Linked DNA regions of Lytechinus pictus. The protein of the gene in region 2 binds, or shares a complex with, the protein of the main gene of each other region. Links are inferred from orthologs where the notes say so. Each region holds a gene or a part of one and is shown on either strand. Other genes may lie near its edges.

The links.
Region 1: the proteins of tRNA-splicing endonuclease subunit Sen34-like (region 2) and tRNA-splicing endonuclease subunit Sen15-like are in contact, whole or in part, in a crystal structure (PDB 6Z9U), measured with the Homo sapiens proteins. The link is inferred for Lytechinus pictus from reciprocal best matches to the Homo sapiens genes TSEN34 and TSEN15. Residues at the interface, in NP_001070914.1 of Homo sapiens: Pro251, Leu252, Arg253, Phe254, His255, Ala256, His257, Tyr258, Pro265, Glu266, Asp267, Thr268, Ile269, Pro270, Leu271, Gln272, Leu274, Ser283, Val284, Arg285, Lys286, Thr287, Leu289, Leu290, Cys291, Ser292, Gln294, Val300, Tyr301, Thr302; in NP_443197.1 of Homo sapiens: Leu70, Lys74, Trp76, Thr108, Pro109, Ile110, Thr111, Ala112, Ser113, Leu114, Ser115, His116, Asn117, Ile119, Arg120, Leu123, Leu141, Ile143, Val151, Tyr152, Tyr153, Lys154, Leu155, Thr156, Asp157, Gly158, Phe159, Met160, Leu161, Pro162.

The regions. Positions count from the first base shown.
Region 1 is NC_087259.1:12,401,608-12,414,454, forward strand, and holds the start of tRNA-splicing endonuclease subunit Sen15-like, read right to left. Parts: upstream 5,164-12,847; 5' UTR 4,772-5,163; coding exon 4,697-4,771; intron 1-4,696. Other genes in the region: uncharacterized protein LOC129277298, read left to right, coding at 5,164-6,354; uncharacterized protein LOC129278362, read left to right, coding at 9,771-10,500. UniProt on the Homo sapiens protein: Non-catalytic subunit of the tRNA-splicing endonuclease complex, a complex responsible for identification and cleavage of the splice sites in pre-tRNA. It cleaves pre-tRNA at the 5' and 3' splice sites to release the intron.
Region 2 is NC_087245.1:38,263,228-38,275,496, forward strand, and holds the start of tRNA-splicing endonuclease subunit Sen34-like, read right to left. Parts: upstream 6,237-12,269; 5' UTR 6,201-6,236; coding exon 6,080-6,200; intron 4,004-6,079; coding exon 3,866-4,003; intron 823-3,865; coding exon 728-822; intron 264-727; coding exon 1-263. UniProt on the Homo sapiens protein: Constitutes one of the two catalytic subunit of the tRNA-splicing endonuclease complex, a complex responsible for identification and cleavage of the splice sites in pre-tRNA. It cleaves pre-tRNA at the 5'- and 3'-splice sites to release the intron.

The DNA.
Region 1 (12,847 bases), on a different chromosome or scaffold from region 2:
AATTGCTGGTATATGATCGAGATTTATCAAGACATCTACAGAGTAAAATGCATCATTATTTCTCCTCCAAGAACAAAATTTTAAAAAAGTGTAAAGAAACAAAACAAGTGGAACACCGTTGGCAGTCTTGCCTGCACTATGAAATTCAATGTACAGCAGAATGGCCAACTTTGAAAACTAAGAAGCAAGATGAATATTTACATTGTATTTCACAAAAAAAAAATCATATGATGATAAAAGACGAAGTTTATTACCCTAAATGAACTTTGACCTCTGACCTGGAACTTGCGCAAATGATAACAAAGTGATCCTGATTACAGGTTGTGTCCCAGTTTCACCATTTACTTTCAAAGTTATAACATTTCAAAAGCTATTAAACTTAGGCCCTACTTTAAAGTTTGATTTCAACCCTCCATTTGGCCACCACTAGTACCAAATATTTGTTCAGTTTGGGTGACTGTCGCAAAAGGAACTCTTTACCAGTGCTGACCGGATAGGCAACAATAGCACACTTTCGGGGTGGCGCATTTGTAGAAAGTTCTGATACACAAATGCACATAATAATGTGAATGAACTGTATAGTGATTCTTTTTTTTCTCTATTTCATTATGAACTTTTTGAGTGAAATTAGGCCTAACCGCCAACGTAGCCTGGAAAAAAGTAAAATACTTGCATCGGCCGATAAATATCATGATATTGTCCTTGACCAAGTTTAATTATGTGCTTGACAGGATAACCTGGTAAGGATTCATGTCTTTCAATGGCAATGGTGTATTGAGTCAATTTTGAAGGAGCTAGATATGGCAGATTAGGTAATGTGTATTAAAAAGTTGTGAGCGAGCGAAGCGAGCAAGCAAAAACTTCAATTTTTATGAGAATATCCAATTTTGTGACAGATTTTGACATAATATTCAGAAAATAATATCATATTTCACTGCCCATCTGTATGGCACTGTTTAAAGGCACCATAACCTTTGTAGCACAAAATGAAAGGATTTGAAAAAAAAACACATGCTCTTCCATACTCCGGTTGAAAAAAAAATATTGTTTTTGCTTGAAGAAGGAATATTCAAAGCTAATAGAGAACATATTAAAAAGAAACAGAACAATTCAAGCAAATAAATAGATTTGAAAATGAATTTTGACCACATAATTTGAAAATTATGGCAAAGATAATGAAAAGGTGAAGAGGAAGTCTGCTGATTAGCAAGAAGTCCAATCATCATGTTTATCATTTTATGCCATTTTGGCGCAAGCCTCATTTTCATCCCCAGACAAAAACATTCCGTGTTCGCTCAAGCATGAACGAAACAGATTTTTTTAATGGCATTTGAAAGATAAGACTTCAGAAGTTCAGAGAACCTATCAACACCAAAATATAGACATCATAATTTGAAACAAACATTTTATACTATAGACTTCAAATCTGTTCCGTTTTTTTTATACGCACTGTATTTCAATTTAGTTTTTTCATGCTAAGTTAGGCTTTTCACACAGAAATGACAGAGGAAGCAAACTTCGCGAGTCGCGACAACATTCGTGTCGATCTAGATTCTAGATAAACTGGTTCAGTCAACTTCAGTGGTTGTTTTTTTCCTAGTTTTTGACATTGCTTCCAAGGGCTTACCGGTACATAACCCAGGGAGCTCCGGCCCGCTTTGTGGGCCTGAGCCCAGGAGTCGACCGCGCAAAACGAGGGAGACACTGGACTGGGGTAGATTGGGGTCTCAATACTAATCTTAATAATAGTGTGGAAACAGAAATTATGCACGTACCACGATTATATGGATGAAGGTCTATCATGAGTAACACACAAATCCTGACATCGAGGCACAGACTGGAACCTCAAAAAAACGAAATATATGGCAGGGGGTCCTAAAGCTGCGCGGGTCCTAAAGCTACGCACCACTCAGTTTTTATGGCAAATGCGCACTCTGTGTGTGGAACTGTGACTGCAGAGTGACGAACGATTCCTATTTAATTTTTTCTACAGAGGCTGCAGTAAATCTCTAATTTAATGCAGAGAAACCAATAACTGTTTGGAATTTTGGAGTTATATTCGCTTAAATTTCATTTTTTCCTATAATAATATGAATATATTTTAGAAATTGAGGCACAGGAAATACTATTTTTTTGCATGATAAATCGAGTGCGTAGCTTTAGGACCCCTTCTACATCGGGTGGCGAAATCAAGAGGTGTTCGGAAAACATGGCGGGATTTTCGTATTAGTGAGTTTTGCGATATTTTCTTCTTGGTTAATGATCTTTAGAATGTTTGCCACAAATTAGTGAAAGATATTTGTTGAAATATTAAAATTGGGATAGTTTTTATTGTTTGAAAACAAAGTGCGTAGCTTTAGGTCCCCCCATCATACATGTAGCCTCGGTCTCGATCGGCCATTTTGTTTTGAATTTTGAAAGGAGAGGTATCGCGACAGAACTTTTCGTTTTTTTAGGTTAATACTTCCAGTCTGTGCCTCGATGTCAGGATTTGTGTGTCACGATAGACCTTCATCCATATAATTGTGGTAAGTGCATAATTTCTGTTTCCACATTTTATTAAGATTACTATTGAGACCCCAGTGTCTCCCTCGTTTTGCACGGTCGGCTCCTGGGCTCCAGCCCGCTTCGCCACTTGTTCACTGCAACCACCCTGCCTGTGGGGAATCTACAGGTTGGACTATGGCATGCCAATGCTGTACACTACAGAGCACACACTTTAAAAAATGATTAAAATATCACTTTTGTGACCAAAATTACTAATTTCCACACAGTTGCAAACTTGCAATTCATTTTTCATTTGTAACTTGGAAATAATTTTTGTATTCACTAGAGCACTCAAAAACTTGAATTTTGGGCATATTTTTGTATACGCCCTCTATTGGTGGAAAATAATATGGCAAGAAATTTTGCATTTTTTTATCTCTATTTTTAATTAAAGGAAAATGAAAGGATAGATTTATTATCTGGTCATAAACTGATTACATTTCACTGATTAAAATAAAATTAAAATGAGGCAGAACGGTTTCCTATTTCCCATGATATGCCAAGTCAAATTTATCAATATTTTGATTTTGAAAGACCCGTGGAGATCGCCATTTTGCTCATCCTCCCTATATCTCTGTGGGGGGGTTGTGACGTCAGCGACGTACAACTCGGTGTCCGACCTCGGCACTCGCCTTTGATTGCTAGCATAAAATACATGGGCCAGAGTGGATCTGGCTGCCGAAAATAGGTCAGTAAGGGGCACAAAATGCAGCTTTTGCCAAATTCCTGATCCGCAGAAGAGGCCAGAAATCTCTTTAAAAATGATTGGCTGCACTAAAGGTGGAAAAAAACTACAATTCTTCCAAATTCAAGAGGAATGATGTTGTTCGTAGCGAGCATTTTACTGATTTCTTCGGCCGAGTATTGGGGCTCGAAGTCGTAGGCTCTCAGGCCTTCTAACTAAGTTCTATTTCAATACAAACGTCCGATAATACTTAAATCGATGGTAACAAATAATAAACAACGTTAGATATAATGAAATATAGCACAATTAACAATTTAACGATATTCAAACGGGATAAACAACCAAACTTCCAACATAAAAGTCAACACGATCACTCGGTTCAGGGGCCGGCGGTCGGCACTCAAGTGTTCATTACATGCTGCCGCGCACAGAAAAATCAAGCCATGGAAGTCGTGTGTTGTGGACACCAGAAGGAAGATCCCAGCACGCGCGATCCACTAGATAGAAATCCACTGAAAAATGCGGTTCACGGTGCTAGCTATATACTAACCTCGCAATACGTGTGATGAGTGGGTGGCTGCACTGTCTACGAACAAATTTAGCTTTGTCAAATTTGCCAATTTGGATATCGTAAATACATGTGTAAACATTTTCATCAAAACTCATCAATTTGTGTTTTAAACCATGAAATAATTTTAATAGCTTTTTGATAATTATTTAAAGTGTTTTATGTGTATATTATATTCATATCTTGTAAAAAAGTATCTATATTATGCAAACTCGGGGTTGGTTTCAGCCTGTGACTAGCTGCACATGGAAGTTAGTACCGAGAGCAGTTGTACGTCGCTGACGTCACGATTTTGAATGAACCTCGCAACAATGGCGATCTCCATTTAGTCAAGAGACTTTGAACGTGAAGAAGCCCAACTTTGAAGAGGTGGTACTCCACTCTGGGAAATCGGATTTGGGTATAAGTGGATTCATTTTTATTATCATTTACTTATCAATGATATTATGTGGTATTACATTTTGGGTTTCATTCTCCTTTAAGAAAAAAATAATTTAAAGAATCAAATTTAGGCCTACTTAAGAAATAAGGCCTTTAACTAAGGGCCAAGACCCAAGTTGTATGACGAATAGGTGTAATGGAAACTGTCAGTGTAAAAAAATAAAGCATTTGTCCCAAAGAAAAAGAGAAAATAAGCCAAACATTGCCATCCTTATTTTGCCACACATCGAGATATAACTGAGAACAAGGTTATATCATAACCTTGTTCAACCTTGAATGAGTGCGCTTCGCGTGCCAGAGCTCCATGGGCCTGGGTTAACCGGTACGTACTAACATAGAAAGAAAGGTGTGGGGCTGTTGACGTTGTGAATTTTATCACGACCAGAGAAATATACAACAACCCCAGTGAATAGTTGCACGTACGGATTCATAAAACGTATTGTCTGATTTGTTACCTTAGGATGATCTGAAAACCAAGAAAAGCGGTCAACTGTCACAGCTGTAGTTCCGGAATTTTGACCAGAATCCATTATTCGTTCTTGCCTCTTGGTTTTCGGAGTGACCGTGGTAGGTCTCGAAATATCTCGCACACAATATCAATAGCTCTCGATTCCCGCGAGATTTCACTTGTTATGTTAATTAGCCAAACTCTTTGACCAATCAGAGCCTGAATTGATGATGTCATATAATAATATGCACATGTTGATGTAAACACAGACATGTGTCATTCTAAATTTAGAAATGCATGGAGAGTTGCACTTGCTCTCCGATGTCGCAATACAAGGAAGACAAATTCCTGAATATATAAAGTTAAACCAATATTCACAGCAGCATTCAGTATTCCAACCGGCTGCAAGCCAAACAGGCATAAAGCCTTCTCGAAAAGGATTTTTCTTCTACTAGTGAGAAAAAAATATTGAGAATGGTTGCTGAAGCAGGAGAAATACAGGTGGAAAGTTTCCCCAAAGCCATCACTGGGAAACCACCTTCGAAATGTGCTGAAAAACTTACTGCCAAAAAAGCGGTGGTGTTGGCTCGCAAATCCAGTAGGAGAAATAAATCTCAGACTAAACCAAATCTAACGAATTCAGACAATGATACTGACATCGACAGTGACAAGAAGGAGAAAAAAAGGAAGAAATTTCAACCAGCTCCATGGTTGTGTGAAAACATGGGCGTTCAATCGGCAGCCCCAATTCGTTCCTTTTTGGATGACGCAATTGCCTTTATGGAAGGGAAAGAGCAGCCAAGTGAGGGCTGTTACAACAGGTATGATGAATCAGGATTTAACTTTGACGAGTATGAACGTGTCATGTTCCATCCAGTGAGATTAAAAAGGAAAACATGTTTAATGCACCGAGTGAAGACTAATCCCAAGATTAAGAATTATGCTACAAAATGCAAATTACAAGACAAGGTAATTGTGCAAGGGAAGAAGGTTGTGATTAATAATGGTGTGATGTCTCGACTTAGTGCACAGGATGAGGAGATCACAATAATCAAAGAACGACGAAATGACAGGACTTCTCGGAAGCTCGATCGCCTTGGTATACCAAGATACAGTGAATGGGTGCCAAAGGAGTCACAGACGGCTGAAAATGCATCGACGGCAAAAACGAAGCCAAATTACACCCGCGCAAAAAGGCCACGAAGGGGAATTCAAGTTGCCTTTCGGAAACCTCGCTGGACCCCAGAGCAGAAGGAGCAGCGAGTTTACATCCCACACGAGTTCGAGCTCGTGACCGCTCAAGTGGACCACGATGACCCCGATGAAGCGAATCTCTTGTGCTTCCTCCTTGACCTACAGCATCGAGAGATGACACCCGAGGACTACGACATGCTCCTCCAACTCGACGACAAGATCGCGCCGAAGACCATCGAAGGCGCCAAGCTGGCCTCCCTCCGAACCGTGACCGTGGTCGATGTCGCGACCGACGGCCCAGGCAAGGGTATTCCCTGGGAAGATTCGCAGTGTGCGGTCTGCATGGAACCGTATGAACAGAACCAAACAGTTAAATTCTTGCCGTGTGAACACTTCTTCCATTCGAACTGTATTGAGATGTGGCTGAATAACAGTGGTAATACCTGCCCATTGGACGGACTAGAACTATGACTATTGCATAACATAATACTCTACCTATAATACAGGCCTACACACATAATAATGATCTTTAGATATTTTAGCCAATCTTTATTGGTGGGAAAGTTCATAATATGATTGTGGGAAATGATTTTGAAAAGGATGTATTTTTCTTACTAGAAAATGAAACTCTTCAAAAAGCCATTATAGTTGTAATTATAAATGATATCAAAATTTACCCATGTCTTCTTATCAAGAAGTAACTGAACAAAAATCATTATATCATTATTTTCCGTATTTATTATCAAATTACGTATGTAATATCGGCAATTGTTATCAACTTGGGATAAAGGGGTTCTCATTAACAGTTAATGTGAAGTCAGTTTTTTTTTTTATATTGACAAAAATGAACGTCTACATACAGTACTATGTGTAAATACAGTGCCAGGTTTGAAAGTGCTTAGACAACATTGAAGGTGCTTTTGTAGATTGAATAATTGGTATTTAGAAGATCGAACCATATTCATAAACAAAATCTATAAAGCGTATCTGAACAACTCGTAGACCTAAAGTTTCAAAGCTCACGGCATGCACTGCTAACTTATTGTGCAATAAAACTAAATATGTGGATGTTTAAACATTGTATTGTCGGTGATGTAGGAGCCAAAATTGGTTGATTTTCCTCATTTTATATTACCTGTTCTCGTTTTACCCTATTACCCAAGATATTTTCTAAGAAATGTACAAAAATCTGTTTGAAATAACTACTTTATCACTCTTTGTTATCCAATATTTGAATAGAGTTCCAGAATAATTCTCTACTGCATGTAACAAAAAATAGAACAATTCTTTTATGCCTCCCTCTTGTGGCAATAAGCACTAAAATTTGAAAAATAAAAAGCAATATAAGACATTACACACAGTTTGAATGCATATTGGTTTTGTATTGAATTATGAAATCTGATATTTTACGGTCGTGCGATCATATTCGTTGTCATTACAAAGTTGTGAAAGGCGGTACGGATATTTATAAACGGATGTTTATGTGCGGAGCGGGATGGGGCAGATGTGGGTGAGGAAGGGGGTTTAGAAAAAAATGAGGAGATGGCAGCAGAAGAGAAAGAGTGGGAGAAAGACAGAGATAAGGAGAGTCGATCGATAGAGGGAGAGAGAGACGAGAGAAGGATAAGAGATGCAAGTGTATATCAAACTGCAAATTTGTCGAACAGCGACAAAAAACTATATCTCTGAAAGTTTAAGTCATTATTAATGATACCTTGATCATGTTGAATTCATTTCTAGCAGTATGCATCACTGAACAAATATTATGGTGCATGGTCCTCGAACAATCAATTTATCAGCAAAAAACTGATATATTGTATTTTGTCTTTTAATTTAAATTAAGTATTCTTATTATCACTGATTTGATATTTTTCTTAGATACATAATATTTGTGTTTTTTTCAAAACATCCCATTATATTTTCAGACTTATACGCACATACATAATACATACAATAATGGGCCTAATTACCAGTATATGATATAGGAAACAAGACTAAAACATAGAGAGGGGAGAGAGGAGAGATCGGGGGAGAAAATCATTTCAAGAGAAAACGTTCTGACGTATATAGGACCTTACTCGCCTTCTGTTTCCCACTCATCCGATTCCGACCCTTTTTAAAATTCCAATAGGCCTATATCGAGACAGGGTGGGGGAGTTGGGGAATAGGAGAGAGACGTAAAGAGAGGTGCTCTATTTCAATGCAACATGTGGCATTTGTAAATCTATAAGCATAATGCGTAAATTGAGGGAGATGAAGTCGCGTCGTTTGGGATTGCATAGGCCTAGATGTGAGCCGTATGGCTGGTGTAATGTTTTTTCGTTGAAACGATATGATATTTATTTATTGATTGATTATAAAGCGATCCGTTATCTTCAATGTACAGGGCGTATCAGACCCCCCCCCCCCCCCCCATCCGCTCTGAAATGCCTCTTTTGGAGTAGATAGTATAAAACTTCCATATATCGTAATAACAACGGACTGAGCCTTCTCTGTGTATGCTCCCCTCTACAACCCTACGTGACGAGGGGCAAATAAGCTTCCAGCTTTATGTCTCTACATCCAAGTAAATCCAAGTAAGTAAGTAAGTAAGTAAAAGAACTCCTCGATCCACTCACGTGTGAAGCCATATATACTGCCAGGAAGACAGGGCCCTGATTTCAAATAGGGGGTGCTGGTGTTTTTTTTTTCAGGAAATTGTCGTCAGAAAAAAAAAGAAAAGCCCCCGCCCCCTTCCAAAAAAGGGAGTAATTATTTCCTTCTTTGGGAGTAATAACAATAACCTTTTTTTTTCTTGTCAACTTAATTTTCAGGGGGTGCTACCTTTGGTAAATAGCATATACGCAGCATCCCTCAACCTGCAGGGCCATGCATGAAAATAACAATTAATTAATTAAACCTACATTATATACCCTTCAATAATAAGAAGAAAAAAAACCAAAGAAGATTATGACGTCTATAAATGACTGGCCTTTACATGTACAGTCCAAACTTAAACGTTATAAATTACTTACTGTTAGCAAAACGGAGATTAAAGTTTTCTTCAGAAATTGTTCTCTCCGTTTAAATATGATGTCGCATACCATCATTAGACCATGTAGACAGAATGCATTAATAGGATGTTCTAGGAACTCTTTGAAAGGAATGAACATAATAATAAAGGGGGCGTGGCGAAATAGATTGAAATACATAGGTCCTATTGCTTCTCGATGTTGCAACCGCTTGTCCTTTTCGCACGTGTTTTTTAACAATGTTGAGACAGGACTTTTTGGAAACACGATCGAAGAGATGTTGGTGATTGCGAAAGAACAATAATGACTCGATCCGCGCGCCGTCTTCTTCTCCTCGTAATTTCTTTTCCAAGCAGTCAAAATGTATTATGTTGAGGCTAATTTCTTTCAGAAAGGGCCTACTTAATGATATCTTCCATGAATGGTATTTCATAACTGATTCGGTGTCCAAACTTGTTAATTGCAATTTGATATTGCTACTAACTTTATTATGGTTCAAATTCAAATTCAAATTCATTTATTTCACTTCCATCAAACAAAAACAAATTGTATACCATATATAAAACATAAATATTTGTTTATGTTATAGCAAAAGTAAATGACAATGTCATTTGGAAAGACGGTTTTCCATGATACAGACTTAATTTTAAACAAAAATCGGACAATCACAGAGGCAACAGTGAAAGAAATTAAATTAGAGAATCACGTCTGAAAAACTAGACTATCCCATTGCGTCACTATTGAGCAACCACGGGGATTCCCCGGAGTTATTATGATCCTCTCCCGCCCATCATGCATTGCCCGTTGATAAGTACAATGACAGGCTAGGGCACAGTTTTCATTGTAGCTGTCAAACTTTGAGGAGAAAGGACCATCATGGCAGATCCCGAAGAATTTCCTGGTCGCATTACGCGACTTGACAAAAATTATGCGAACATTTCAGTAACGGGAAAGCCTGGAACTTCCCGCCTGGACACGTCCTCTGCTCGCCGCATCACAGGGTCGTACGTGGGAGACCTCCGTGACATCCTGGAACCCAATGCCCGACTGAAGGTTCGGGTTGTTCCCATGTCAGAGGAGGCGCTCTCCAAGATCCCTGATCGCATTCGGAATGCTGTCAGAAGGAATTCCCAATGGGAAGTAAAGTTTTTCAGGAAAGACGTCGAGCCAGCACCGCAGCCAAGCCGGTTCGACGCCCCAGAGAAGCATTTCACAGATCTCAGCTATTCCCTTAACATACCTCGGGATGCTATCGGCAGGATCATCTCGGCATTGCTGCAAGTCACGCAGATGCTCAACAACACAAGTCTTCAGAAGCTTCTCCCTCTTGTGAAATCGCATTTCAAAGTCAAGAATATCCCCAACATCGGCCAGCATTTAGCAGCAGAAAAGGATCTTGAAAGGATCGTCCTCTCATTTCCACAATATTTCACGATCTCATCAAGGCCCCCGGTCGTGAAGCGATCTTGTGGGTTCAGCGAGGAAGTTTTCAACCCAGCAGTCACCAAGAAAGCCCTTGAGATACAACCCGTTCGCACTAAGGGAAATAAAAGCAAACCTTCCGGAGCAACAGCCTCAGCAGCCAGTAGTCCTGTTGAAATAAAAGGTAGGCCTAAGCTTATTTCTTAAAGTGTACATGACCAAATTTATCTTCACACGTTTACAGAACGTCTGGAATAATAATTTAAAAAAATTATATCATCTACATTATGTACGGCATGGAAAGAGGGGGACAAAGAAAAAAGTGAGACAAAGAGTGAACATGGGAATTAAATGATTAGAGTACATAATACAGAAATTGTAAAAAGGGAAAGAAAAAAGGAAAATAAAACTAAATCACAGAAGATAACTCAGTCAACCAAATGACTTTAAAAAATGACAGAGAGTTTAAGCAAGAAGAAGGAAACGAAGAGAGTCCTTGTTGGTGTATGGTTTTGAAAGACAGGTGAATGCACGATGGAAAGTGTAAAGATGCAGCAAGGTTTAAAAAAGAAAGAAACCAAATCCTATAGTCAACGGACCGAATTTACAACAGATAAAGAGCGAAATGATAATATGATATAATGATAACAATAATAATCATAACAATCATACTTGCTTATTATAGTGCTACTTTCTATATCAGAAGTCTCTAAACGCTCGACAGTAATGCAGCATAATTACATTGGCTGTAACATGGGAGTTAGTAGATTCCTATCCATGACCAGGTATTCTCCTCACCTGGGTTGAGTGCAGCACGTGGGTAAACTTGCTGAAGGAATCGAACCCACGTCCCTCAGATTGAAAGGCGAGTGTCATAACCACTAGACCATGCACGACACCTCCTCATTATGCTAAGAATAATTATGCTATATTATTTTGTTGACGAAGTTACACTCCTCTCCTCTTCAATGTTGCTTATTTTCATCGCTCGCTGTGCTCGCTTGCTGGTATTTATTCAGATAAGGAAGTAAACAGATTTGGCAAGCCATGATGACATCTCAGATAGTGATCGTGTGATATAAACCTTCTTTTAAAAAGGCGCTTCAAAGAGATATTTTATAACATTATCTGAATTTCTCAACAAAATGAAAGTCTATTTAGATTTTTTTTCTTATGTTTTCATATCATTCATATCCTATATACAGTTTTCGTATCAACAAACATAAGGCGGTTGCGTTTTGGGGGCATGAATCATCATTAATGATCTATCATTGCATTTTTTTATGTTGCTGCTATCAATGATTTTTATATTTTCTCTGCAATCGCTCTCTGTATATTTTTTCATTGGAAATGTATTTTGTTCCGTGTATATTGAAATTAAGAATGTGTAAAAACATGTGCAATTATTTTTACTGCAATATATGTATTTTAATAAACCATGTATTATTTTGATTGATTGCTTGATTGTTATATTGATTGATTGATTGATTGGTCAATTGATTGATATTATTGATTGATTGATTGGTTGATTGATTGATTGATATTATTTATTTATTGATTAATTGATTGATTGATTGATTGATTGATTGATTGATTGATTGATTGATTGATTGGTTGATTGGTAATGTAACGTTTGTTAAGACCAAACGAATAATGTGGATTAAACGTTTGCTAGACGGAGGGAAAAGTTAGGGTTGGAAAGCGACCTTCGAATATTTTTTTAGCTCTTAAAGTGGTGGTCGCATCATATTTCTGTGTGATTATGATACGAGTAAAATGAATTTGAAAGGTATACCATTATTTTACATAGATCTGTTGAAGGCATGGCACGAATTGGATAAGTGTAGACATTTTGGAGGGAAAAGTAATCCCATTATTTTTAATAACAAGCGTATATGCCTCAATAATAAGACCTTTCTTTATATTGAATTATTTCAGAAAGGTATAGTTAAGGTATCGGATATAATAGTTGGAGGTCAATTAAGACCAGTTTCATACTGGTATAATCTGAAATTTTCAACTGAAAACTTGCTCAGAATTCAAAAGATATTTTCAGTAATAACAGAAGAGTGGATACAAGGTGATTTTATGGAAATGGATACAGACAACTTTGAAATTCAACTGATGATATGTGGGCATGTTCAGAAACTATGTGATGTAAAATCTAGACGAATATATGACCACTTCGTTGAACATTTTCAAATTGATTATGTATTTCATGTTACAGATGGGCAATCCGAATATGATCTGGGAATGGGGGAGCTGAAAGAAGTATTTCTGAGACTGAAATGTGCAATGCTATGCAATAAACACAGAGAATTTCAAGACAAACAATTGCATGGGGCTGTGTACACGAAAAGGGAACTTTTTAAATTTGGTTTTGAGACAGATAATTTGTGTTCCTTTTGTAAAAAAGAAGTTGAGTCCTACCAACATTTATTTTATATTGTCCTGAAGTTTATGGGAAGAGATGAGTAAAATATTTCAACTGAATGAACTTGGCAGTGACAGTTGGAAAACAATTTTCATGG
Region 2 (12,269 bases):
TCATTTCCTTCTCCTTCTACCTCTCCTATATCACCCTTGATTGTCATTTGCTCTGCAGGCTTTATTTCTTCAGCTTCCTTCTCCTTTCCCTCACAATTAGTTTCCATCTTTTCAGTAGGATCGTCTCTTTCTTCTTGCCCTGTTCTCTTGGACAACTCTTTTCCCATCTTTTTCCTTTGTTCCTTCTTTCTTCTTCTCCCTTCTTCAATCACCTCCCTCAGCTGATTCCTCTGTTCCAAGACATGCTCTTGCCACAGAAGTTTCTGAAATACAAAATCATATGAAGGTTTCCTTTTAATGTCAAACTTTGTTTTACTGCAAAAAAATATAAAAATCTGCACAAAAAACCAAGTAGAACTTCAATGATTCTTTGTACGACAGTAAACGGATTACACAGTGAAATTAATTTACACTATTTTTTATAGGGAAGGAGGGCTACAATTGTCTTCAATCTTATCTAGGAGTATTTTTTAATTGATCACATGCAGCTTAAAAAACCGTGGAATATTCTTCCTTTTCTTGATAGTTTCAAAATGAATGAAAACAAATTCAAGGAAATATGGAAAATAGAAGGCAATTTCATGGGTGTAATTGTAAAGATGTAAAACGCAAAATTTCGGCAACTTTGGAGGATTTTTTTTAAATACCCCTGCTGGTTAACCCTATAAACTGCCTGTTTATTTATAGAGTTTTAACATTTTCAAAATAAACATAATGGACATTTTACCTGTTTTTTGATAGAATCCATCCTCTGTTGGTCAAAAGCCTTCACTTGGTATTTACTTGGTTTGGCTACAGACATTGTCACGAGTCTACCAACTCCTATGACAAACAAGTCAAAGAGAAATACATAAACAATCACTAAATGCATGAGAACAGTAAGGCCTCAATACGATTCCTTTAAAAATAGCGTCTTGAAAAATCATCAACTTCAATCTGGCCTAACTGATACAGAATCAACGCCTGCAATGTTTGTGAAACTGTTGGACTAATTCGATAATAGCATTCCAGTTGTGGTAATAATCGAAATATGGCTGAACAGAATCCAATAAAATGACAACCAAAGGGTTTACAGATATGTGCCGTATGATATTTCGGAGAGAAAAGATGCAATTGCTGAGAAATTCCAGTCAGGTACAGGGTCTTTTTCCAAGCAATAATAATGAGCTGTGTGAAGGCCGAGTTGGCAATCAGCAGTGTGATTTACTTTTTTTTTTCAAATCAAATTTTTGGATTTCACAAAGACAAGTATATGACAATCCTTCTCTACAATGATATGGTGACTATACCCGTAAGGCACTATTTTGAATTCTTTCTCATGACATAGTTTCCTGCAAGTACACGTACAGGTATATTGTGTCTTGCCCTCAAAACCCAGATGAGAGATTATTCGTCTACTCCTCATCCAAGTTATGGAACAGCCCTCCATGGCCCAGGGAAGCATGGGTGCTAGGGGGGCTAAAGCACCCCCAAGATTTTCCTGGGGGGTGCAGCATGTGTCATTGTCTGTAGGCAGTACCCCCCCCCCCCCTGGAATTCTGGTAGGTGTGGCAATATGGAGATATCAGGGTGCTACATAACTTTTTAGAAGCACTTGCCCAATCGGGCAAGTGAATTTCTAAATAGTTGGAAAAAACTTGCCCGAAAAAAAATCTTTCAAAATAAGGTTTTACCGCTGCAAAAGATAGAATGGTTTTATATACCATTGCCCCTTTCCTCTCTTTAGACGTGAACTATTGTACTTTGTAATTTTTTTTCAAGGAAGAAAGAAAGAAAGAAAGATAAAGGGAAGGTGAAAGAATGGGTGAAGGAAAGATTGAAGGAGAGAAAAAAAATGAAAAACAAGAGATGAATGGAGAAAAAAGAATAAAGAAAAGAAAAAAAGGTTTCCTTCATTCTTTGAATAAAGAAAAAGGGAAAGAAAAGAACAGGAAAGGAAGGGAAAATGAATTAATGGGTGAAAGAAAGAATGGAAAGAAATAAAAAAGGGGGAAAGAAAGTAAGAATGAAGGAAAAAAGATTTCCTTCATATTTTGAAAGAAAGAAAAGAAAGAAGGAAGGAAGGAAGGATGGAAAGAAAGAAAGAAAGAAAGAAAGAAAGAAAGAAAGAAAGAAAGAAAGAAAGAAAGAAAGAAAGAAAGAAAGAAAGAAAGAAAGAAAGAAAGAAAGAAAGAAAGAAAGAAAGAAAGAAAGGGGAAGACAGGAAAGAAGCAAAAAAGGAGAGAAAGAATAAGGAAAAAGAGAAGGAAAGAAGAAAATAAAGATTGAAAGAAAGGATGAAAAGAATGAAGTGAGAGAATAAAAAAAAAGAAAAATAATGGAAGAAGGAAGCAAAGAAAAAATAGAGGAAAGAAAAAATGAAGAAATTTTAAAAAAGAAGGAAAGTACATGTAAGAAAATGAAGGAAAGAAAAAAAAATTAACAGAGAGAGAAAAAAGATCAGGAAAGAAAGCTAGGAAAGATTGAAAAGAAAGATAGATGGAACAAAAAAGGCAAGCGGGAAAGATAGGATAGAAAAGAAAGAAAGAGAGAAGGAAAGAAAGAAAGAAAGAAAGAAAGAAAGAAAGAAAGAAAGAAAGAAAGAAAGAAAGAAAGAAAGAAAGAAAGAAAGAAAGAAAGAAAGAAAGAAAGAAAGAAAGAAAGAAAGAAAGAAAGAAAGAAAGAAAAAAAAAAGGAAGGAATGAAGGAAGGAGCAAGGATTACTTACGGAAGGAAGAAAAAGAAAGAAAGAAAGAGGAAGAAGGATCAAATTTGAAACAAAACAAAAAATGCAATCATGTAATAAAAATCTTGCTGATATTTCTTTTAAATATATTTTGAAAATTGTTGGAAAAATAAACGTTTTAGAAATGAATAAAAATTTACAGAGAAACATTGACAAACTTAAAAATCAAATGAATCATTGCGGCATCGTGGACTTGCACGCATCTTTCTTCCCACTACACCGATCACAACACTCAAAACAACAGCTGAAACTAGTAATGAAAACTCAATAACTTGCTCCTCCGATCACATCACCAAATCAGTGATCTGAGAATCCAGTATAAAAAATTTCCCGCCGATTTTGTGATTATTTTGTTGGAAAAAGTATTTTTCATGTGAGCTTGTTCACTTTGGTTCGGAGTTTGATCGGGGATAGTACAGGTGTGCACAGCAGCATGGAGATCCATGCATGCCTGCCACACAGGCTGGAGGCTGGGCGCACCAGCCACATGTATGCTGACTCTGTGTGTAGATCACAAAAATGTCGCAAACTGGCTTGCAATTTGAATTGAGGGAAGTTGTTAACTTTGTTTTTTTCTCTCTCTCGTCTTTATTTTTGCATGTGAAGTATGGGGAAACTTTGTAAAATTTCATTTCACAGTGAGAATTTTGCTTGCCCGATTCGGGCAAGTAGTTTTTGTCTTTACTTCAAAACACTTGCCCGACTCTAACTTTTACTTGCCCTGGGCAATCGGGCAAGCGCTTATGTCGCACCCTGAGATATGTAACTAAAATTATCTACAATTTATAATGACCCCCCTTTTTTTTCTTCATTTTTTGTCAAATTTTTCAGGACCAAAATGATCTTCATTGTGTAGTGCTTGTCAAATTTACATCGATACCCCCTGTATAAAAAATTGTTCTAAGGGTCTTCCAGCCTCCCTGAAGACATCATAAACTTCTTTTAAAAAAACACATCAACAATTTTATTTCTGATTCTTCTTAATATCCTTCAAAATTCTTGAAAAGTGCCTTTCGATGGGCACTCTACAAAGTGGACATGGTCCAACATTAATATCACTAACGCAGCTCAGCACATAACCAACATACATATTTAAAAATTAAAAAAAACATTTACTCTTCATATATGTGTTATACATACCATGTTGAAGGAGCACAGCTGCTTCTTCTGGCATGAGTTGTAGAGGTAGACCAAGCTGTATATTCTGCCTTGGAGCTCCAGGCAAAGCACCTATCAATGAACCCACAATATGGTGTTCACGACGAAGTATTTCAACTTCTGTGTAAAAAAATCAAAGAAATCACTATTACGGTATAATGTGATAAATTAGTAATAATAGCATAAAAAGCACCCACAATTTAATAATTTGGCAAATTCGCGTATGCGCCCTCAGTATATCGATCGGCCAGTTTTGTTTGCAATTTTGAAAGTGAGTGAACGAACGCGGCTTTCTTGCCTCGATGTCAGGATTCATGCAGTCTGTTAGACCTTCATCCATAGCATTGAGGTGGGTGCATTTCTTTTTTTCCCCTTTAATATTGAGTGTTTTTGGTAACCCAAACCTCGAAGGTACCCATGACATGGTAGTATTTGTTAACTGTGGCAGCCTATGGCTACCTTCTGGGATGCTGCTAGACAGCTGGCAGCCATCTGTTTCGAGGAGTTTTTTAAACATTTTTAAATTTCTCGTGCAGCCGCCATTAAGGGGGTTAACAATGCAAATTCCCCCCGATGGCACTCATTGATTTGTGTCTTCATTTCATAAAATATATAAAACGAACTGGACCAAAATAAAGGATATTATACCGCTTTGGCCTGAAATGCACCAAAACAGGAAAAAATAAACTTAAAAGGAAAAAAAAAACGGTGACTTACTTCGGCTGTCGCACAACTCCCACTTCCCTGGTTTATCCAAACTTAAACAGTTAAAGGAGAATGAAACTCTTGGAGCAAGTTAGCTTTTGTGAAAGCAGAAAAATCAAAGAATAAGATCAACAAAAGTTTGAGTAAAATAGGACTAGAAATAGAAGAGTTATGAGCATTTGAATGTCGAGATCACAAATGCTATGGAGATCCTCCCATTGGCAATGCGACCAAGATCTATGATGTCACAGATGAACAACTCTCCCCTTTTGGACACTGAAAATATACCCCAAAACATCTCTTTTTGCTCATTCTAATCATATGACAAACGATTCATCAATGATATAATGTTGTGAAACCTCTGTACTTGTCCTCTCATAAAGAGAACACCTCACCTTGTGATAGACTCTATAAAAGTGAGAATATAAGTGAAATAAGTACTAAAGTAATGAGGGAGTTGTACGTGTGTGACATCACAGATCTTGGTCGCATTGCCAATGGGAGGATCTACATGGCATTAGTGATCTCAATATTCAAATGCTCATAACTTTCTTATTATTCATTCAATCTTCCTCAAACTTTCAACAATATGTTTCTTTGATTTTTCTCTTTGATATGGATTCAGCTGGTTTCAAGGGTTTCATTCTCCTTTAATACATAAAAATACGGCCATTGAGTCCCTTTAGTCGACTTAGAACTTCGGTCTCTGTAATTGGTGAGTGGAGCCCAGGATGTTCAGCTGAACAACCAATATAACAGAGACCGAAGCTTTTGGTCTAGGCTCCGGCACGCGAAGTGGGCCGAAGCTCTCTGGGTTACTGTCCCTTTAACCCAGGGAGCTCCGGCCTGCTCCTTGTAATACTACTAAACTAGGCAGACATGGGTACTCTCCAAACTGGGTTAGAATGGGGTCGCAATGAAAGTGGAAAAAATAAATTATGCACTTACCTCGATTATATTAGATGAAGGTCTATCGTGACACAGAATCCTGACATCGAGGCACAAACTGGACACTCAAAAAAAGGAAAAGTTAGACTCCATGTCGTGTTCGTTCTCAGTATCGATCGGCCATGATTTTGTTTTCAATTTTGAAAGAAGGAGAATGAACGAGACAGAACTTCCTTTTTTTGAGGGTCCAGTTTTTTGTGCCTCGGATGTCAGGATTCTGTGTCACGATAGACCTTCATCCATATAATCGAGGTAAGTGCATAATTTATATTTCCCCTTTTATTTGGGGTGCTATTACGACCCCATTCTACCCCATTTTTGGAGAGTATCCTCTGCCTAATAATATTATTACACGGACGAGTCCTGGGCTCCGGCCCGCGAAGCGTTACCTTCCCCTCAGCTCTCCGGGGCAATAAACACGCTGGTCCGTAGAATTTGGGGACCACCACTTTTTCGAATCCAGCTCCAGGCATCACGCACGAGTCATTTCTTTCACAATCACACATTACCTTCGTTTTTTCACTAAATAGCACATGTTCTTACCATCAGCATGCCAAACACAAAGTTGTCCAGCGATTAAATGTAGATTTATCAACTGTTTCGACGCCATCTGTAGCGTTGTTCTGATCGACGGCTCTTGCGAGCATGAACGATGATCACACATGTCGAAATGTCGCCCTCTAGCTAGCTCGGCAGCTCGTAGACTAGACATGACTGAGATCAGTGCTCAAACCAAACTACGGAAATATTGTGGCGGATGGGGGGGGGGGGGGGCCGGGGGGGGGGGGGGGTCCGACCCGTACCAGTGCCCCCCATGTTTTATGCATTAAACATTAAAGATCAATGTTTCATACATAGCGATGTTCTCCCGGCATTTTGCCACGAGCCCCGCATTTAGCGGGGCTCTCCGCTAAAAAAAGCTATTAGAAAAATAATAATAAAAAAAAAAAAAATCATTTTTATGTAAATAATTTGTATGCCGTCCTTGAAAGTCACAGCATATATTTTTAATGGAAATTAACAAAAGGGAGGAACTTCTTTTATGCTTGTCAAATTTTCCTCGGGAAAATGTGCTACCCAGCCTCGTAGAAAATCCTGGATCCGCCCCTGGTATCCACCTTTATGGTACAAACAGCAAAAAATCTGGGGGCGTCTTATAAGACTGAAGTTTAAATATAATTTAGCTTTAGTTTAACAAACTAGATAAGGACTAAAGCTTGAATTGATAACGGGGGCTTATAGGGGAAGTTCACCCCTGACTAAAAGTTTGCTCTAAAAATAGGCCTACCCGGGGAAGAATGGGTGAAAGTTTGAGGGGAAATCTATCAAAGATTAAGAAGATTGTAAGAATTTTAAGTTTTTTATTTATCACGTATATAAGAGCAGCTGCCCTATATAAAATGCATAAATTTTTAATGGCCCATGATATGATTAAAAAAATATTTCTTTCAAGAGCGGATGTGAACATTTGTGTTGATTCATTGTCTACGTGATATCAGTAACACAAAATTAATGATGAAGAGAAACTTATTTAAATTGACTTAATTGTCTATTGATATCCTTTAGGTAAAATTCTAATTACTTTTAAAATCTTTTATGCATTTTCCTCAGACTTTAACGAATATCTTGCATTTTCTGCTATTTTTTTAGATCGTCAGAGTGAACTCCCCCCTTTTTTAAAGTTTTTGAAAAATGGCTTTTCTCAGGACTCTTTGCATAGAATCATACATGTATGCACATTGGCGGCGGAAGCCAAAAGATTTAAGGGGGTCCACCTGAAATTTTGGGATGGACTCAGGTAAAAAATTTGACAAGCAAAAACAAAAAATAAGGTTATCAACCAAAATTTTAGGGGGGGCACAAGAATTTTAGGGGGGTCCACCTGAATTTAGGGGGGGGGACGCAGAAAAAAAAAAGGTATCAACATAAATTTTAGGGGGGGGGTCCGTCCCCACCCCACCTCAAATTTAGGGGGGACATGACCCCCGTCCACCCCCCCGCTTCCGCCGCCTATGTGTATGCATCTCATAAATCAATAACTGCAACCGCGAAGCGCGTGACTTGAAAAAGAGATTCAATGCTGCATATTATGAATTAATGAATAAGTACGTATCTCGTTCATCAAATATTTCTATTGAGAGCGCGAAGTGCGAGCTAAAAATTAGATGCATAAGCACTCATGAAGCGAAAGCATCTCAAATATCACAAGCCAGATAATTTTTTATGAATGTTTTTTTTTTTTTACCTGAAAAATAGGGGCATGTGACCCCAGCCCCACCCTCGGATCCGCCACTAAACATGATGCGTATATATCTCGTTAATTAAAATTCTAAATAAACCTCGAAGCACGGAGCAAAAACCGAGTTTCATACATTGACTTAAAAACAGGAAGAGCTATTTTGATCCTCTTAATAGGCAATGATCGATATTCATCATATAAAACAGGCAATACGAGCGCGAAGCGCAGTAGAATTTTCTGTTTGTAAAATTACTGTGATGTATTTCTTTTCCTATTTCCAAGTCCCCCTTCCTTTATTCTATATTGACTTTTATATCTCCTCTTAAAATTCTTTACGGCCCCTGGATTCGCCAAAGTATTATACTTTGGATGAGAATAATATAACAAGTGGAATATGCCTCTGAGAGTCTTGCCTGCATTACCCGATTCAATATAGCACCGGTGCTGACAACTAAGATTGTTCTTTTTCACAAAAACCAATATATATATATATATACATACATATTATATATATGTATATATATATTAAATTTGTTGGCCTCAAATGACCTCTGACAATGATCATGTGACATGAAACTTGAAAAGCTGACACTTTATTAAAGGTCAATTCCACCCGAGCAAAACGGTTTATTGAATAAATAGAAAAAAATCAAACTAGCATAACGCTGAAAATTTCATTAAAGTCGGATGTAAAATAGGAGTTATGACATTTTAAATTTTCACTTATTTTTCACAAAACATTGATATGCACAACTCAGTGAAACGCAGATGAGACAGTCGATGATGTCCCTAACTCACTATTTCTTTTGCTTTTTATTGTTTGAATTATACAATATTTCATTTTTTTTTACAGATTTGACAATAAGGACCAACTTGACTAAACCATACAGTATTAAACAAACCCAATCCCACATGTCCAGGGAGGAATTGATCGTTGTTTCACTTGACAATAAGGATAAAATAAGAATATTCATATATCATTTAATAAAATACAAAAGAAATAGTGAGTGGATGACATCATCAGTCTCCTCATTTGCATACCCACCAGGATGTGCATAAATAACTGTTTTGTGAAATTAAGCGAAACTTTTAAATGTCATATAACTTTCATATTTTACATCCGATTTTGATGAAATTTTTAGTGTTATGATTGCTGGATTTTTCTATTTTTATTCAAATCAACCTTTGTTAGGGTGGACTTGTCCTTTAAGCATCAATATCCTTAAAAATAGTATTTTTTAAATTATCAATCCGGGCGGATAATGTCGCGACCGCGAGTGATTTAAAAAAAATTTTACTATTTTGAAGAGTGACCCGAATAAGCTTGATGAAATGTTTAATTGCTAATTTTCCCCTCTTATTATTTTCTCTACATTATTTCTTCCTCCTTTTACTTTATCCATTTTCCCCTCTTCCATCTCTCTTTGTTTTTCGCCTCCAGTATAGATGGACGCGGCTGCTTTGGCTCCTGGATCTGCCCATATCTTTCCATGTCCCTTCCTAATCTTTTTATTTGGTACAAGACGAGGCACTGGCTTTTATGCTATTATGGATTCGCAGTTTTATGAAAATAATTTTAAGGAACAAAAGACGCCCCCACTTTCGGCAAATTCTTTCTATAACTATGTATCTCTATTCCTTTCCCCCTTCTTTATTATTTCTACTCTCCTTTGTGCTATTAATCTCTTCATTGCCGGGATAGGTGTATAAGCCAGCAGCTTGGGGAATTATCGGGCACGAGGGCGTTTCTACCCCAGACTTTACCCCCCTGCTTTTTTATCATCTCTCTCCCCTTCTCATTTTCACTTCCCCTCTAATTCTTTCCTTCTCGCTTTCCACTTTTTGGCTCTGGTTCTGCGTCTGCCGAAGGCAAGGTCCTTTCGCACCCGGACTTCCCCCATTTTTAAGTTCTTCTTTAAAGGGACAAAAAAAATGTTTGTTAATAAAAAAAAATACAAGTGGAACACTTTTGGCAGTCTCGCCTGCATTGCACAATTCGATATAGCAGCAGTGCTGCCTTTGAAAACAGCTTATGAATGAATTATTCACAAAAGAAAACACTAATATAATAAAATATGTCCATTGACCCAAAATGACCTTTGACCATGATCATGTGGCATATGACATGCATGTGCAAAACGATCATTCATACAGTACTTGATTACCCTTATGTCTATGTTTCATGAACTAGATCTATTAACTTTCTAAGTTATGATACCAATTCAACACATACTCGCAACACGGCCAAATTTCATAGACCTTCTATGACCTTTGATCTTGGTCATGTGACCTGAAACATGCTCAGGATATAAAGGGATACATGGTTGCTCTTATGTCCAAGTTTCATTATCTATATCCTAAAAGTTATGACAATTCCACACATACCCTCAACATGACCATTTTTGTTGACCCTAAATGACCTTTGACCTCGGTCATGTGCCCTGAATCTTGCACAGGATGTTCAGGGATACTTGATTGCTCTTAGGTCCAAGTTTCATGAACTAAATCCATAAAAAAATTTACGATTCCACAAATACCCCAACATGGCCAAAGTTCATTGACCCCAAGTGACCTTGGTCATGTGACCTGAAACACAGACAAAATCTTCAGTGATGCACCATTACCCTTATGTCTAAGTTTCATGAACTAGGTCCATATACTTTCTAAGTTATGACATTTAAAAAACAACCTTGGTTAAGATTTTGATATTGATTCCCCCAACATGGTCTAAGTTCATTGACCCTAAATGACCTTTGACCTTGGTCATGCGACCTTAAAAATCGGGGAGGATATTCAGTAATACTTATTTCTAAGTTTCTTGAACTAGGTCCATTTACTTTGAAAGGTATGACATTTCAAAAACTTAACATTGGTTAAGATTTCAATGTTGACGCCGCCGCTGCAGTCGGAAAAGCGGCACCTTTAATCTTGCTCTGCTATGCAGGCGAGACAATAAACGGCTGTTTTCGACTTGCCGTATAGCCGCCGTAGGGGAAATGTGACTGCAGCATTACTATACAGCAACAGTCTACACCTAGATTATAGAGGGCTTGGCCCATGTCAAAAGCTTGCTTTGAATTAACAGTTAAGCCTGAACTTTATATTTGAATAACGGTAAGACACATATCACACAAAAGTTTACATTCTGATTCCAATGTGGTTTTATTCATATCTAATCAATGTTTTTCTTGTTTCACATATAGTGTGTAGATTTTAAAATGTTCTCGACCTTCAGATCCTATGCAACACTGGATACAAAATCACAAAATGGTTGCCAACTGCAAGATTAAAAGCTAGATTTTTTAAATACAGTACGTATGACTGTAACTCTTTTCATGAAAGTGGTAGCCATTCCTCCACAACTCAATTGGATTCACAATTATGGTTTATACAGGTTACAGTCTGAAACAAGACTACAACAATGTAAAACACAAATACTCTTTTAGTCAATATCACAAATATCATTCTAGTTAAAATTGCCAGATTCTTTTCAACTTGTGACAAATTATAAAAACAATGGGCTCACTTTCAATGACAGACATAGCATTGCAGATATATTATAGTCTTGCAATGCAGTTACACATAATGAAAATACTAGATAAAGCTCTACTATAACGTGTGCAATTAATTGTAGACCCATTGGTGCAAACGCCGCCCTTCCAATAGAGAGTACATGTATAAGAAACTGCCGTAACAGTAAAACACATCATTTTTGTAACTTTTGTAATCTCACTTTCCTCTAAAACAGTTAACATAATAATTATAGTTAAACTACAGCCACTTACTTTTTAAAGTTATGAAATACATTTAATCACTCATAATCCATCAGACAAAGATATAAATAAAAGTACCAAGATCAAATTTAAAAACATCATCACACTTTTTTTATTAAATTATGGCCACATCATTTAACAGATTGACGAGGTGAGTGAGTCCAGTTAAATTTTTTTTTGGTAGGTAAGTTCCCGTTAAAATCAAAGTCAATCTTACAAGTCCCATTGTTTAGTATACGTTTGGTAGGTGTTTTTTAAATCTCCCATTTCAAAAGTTTGCGACAACAACAAAATATATGTGTTTTGGTAAATACAAGTGTTAACTTTGCGTGCAAGATGGGAGTGTAAATGTCAAAGGTCGTGTTTGCATGAAATGTCAACCTTCTGGCAATGTAATTCTTGCATTATGTCACAAAACATACCTATAAAGCAAACTAGAACTGACAAAAAACTACATCCAACCTAGTACAAGAGGTTATCGATGGATTTAAGAACATATAAAATAGTGGAAGATATTTTAATCTCGATCAATTGAATGGTAACGAAAAGAAACATATGATTACTGAATGATCCCTGCTGAAACCACTAAGGAATTTTCTACAGAATGCAGATTACAAGTATACATGAAAGGCTAGATTGGAAATTAAAAAAAATAGAATACAATGAGATATAAAATATCATAAATGGAAATTACTTGTCTATTATTTGAGCTTATGGAAAA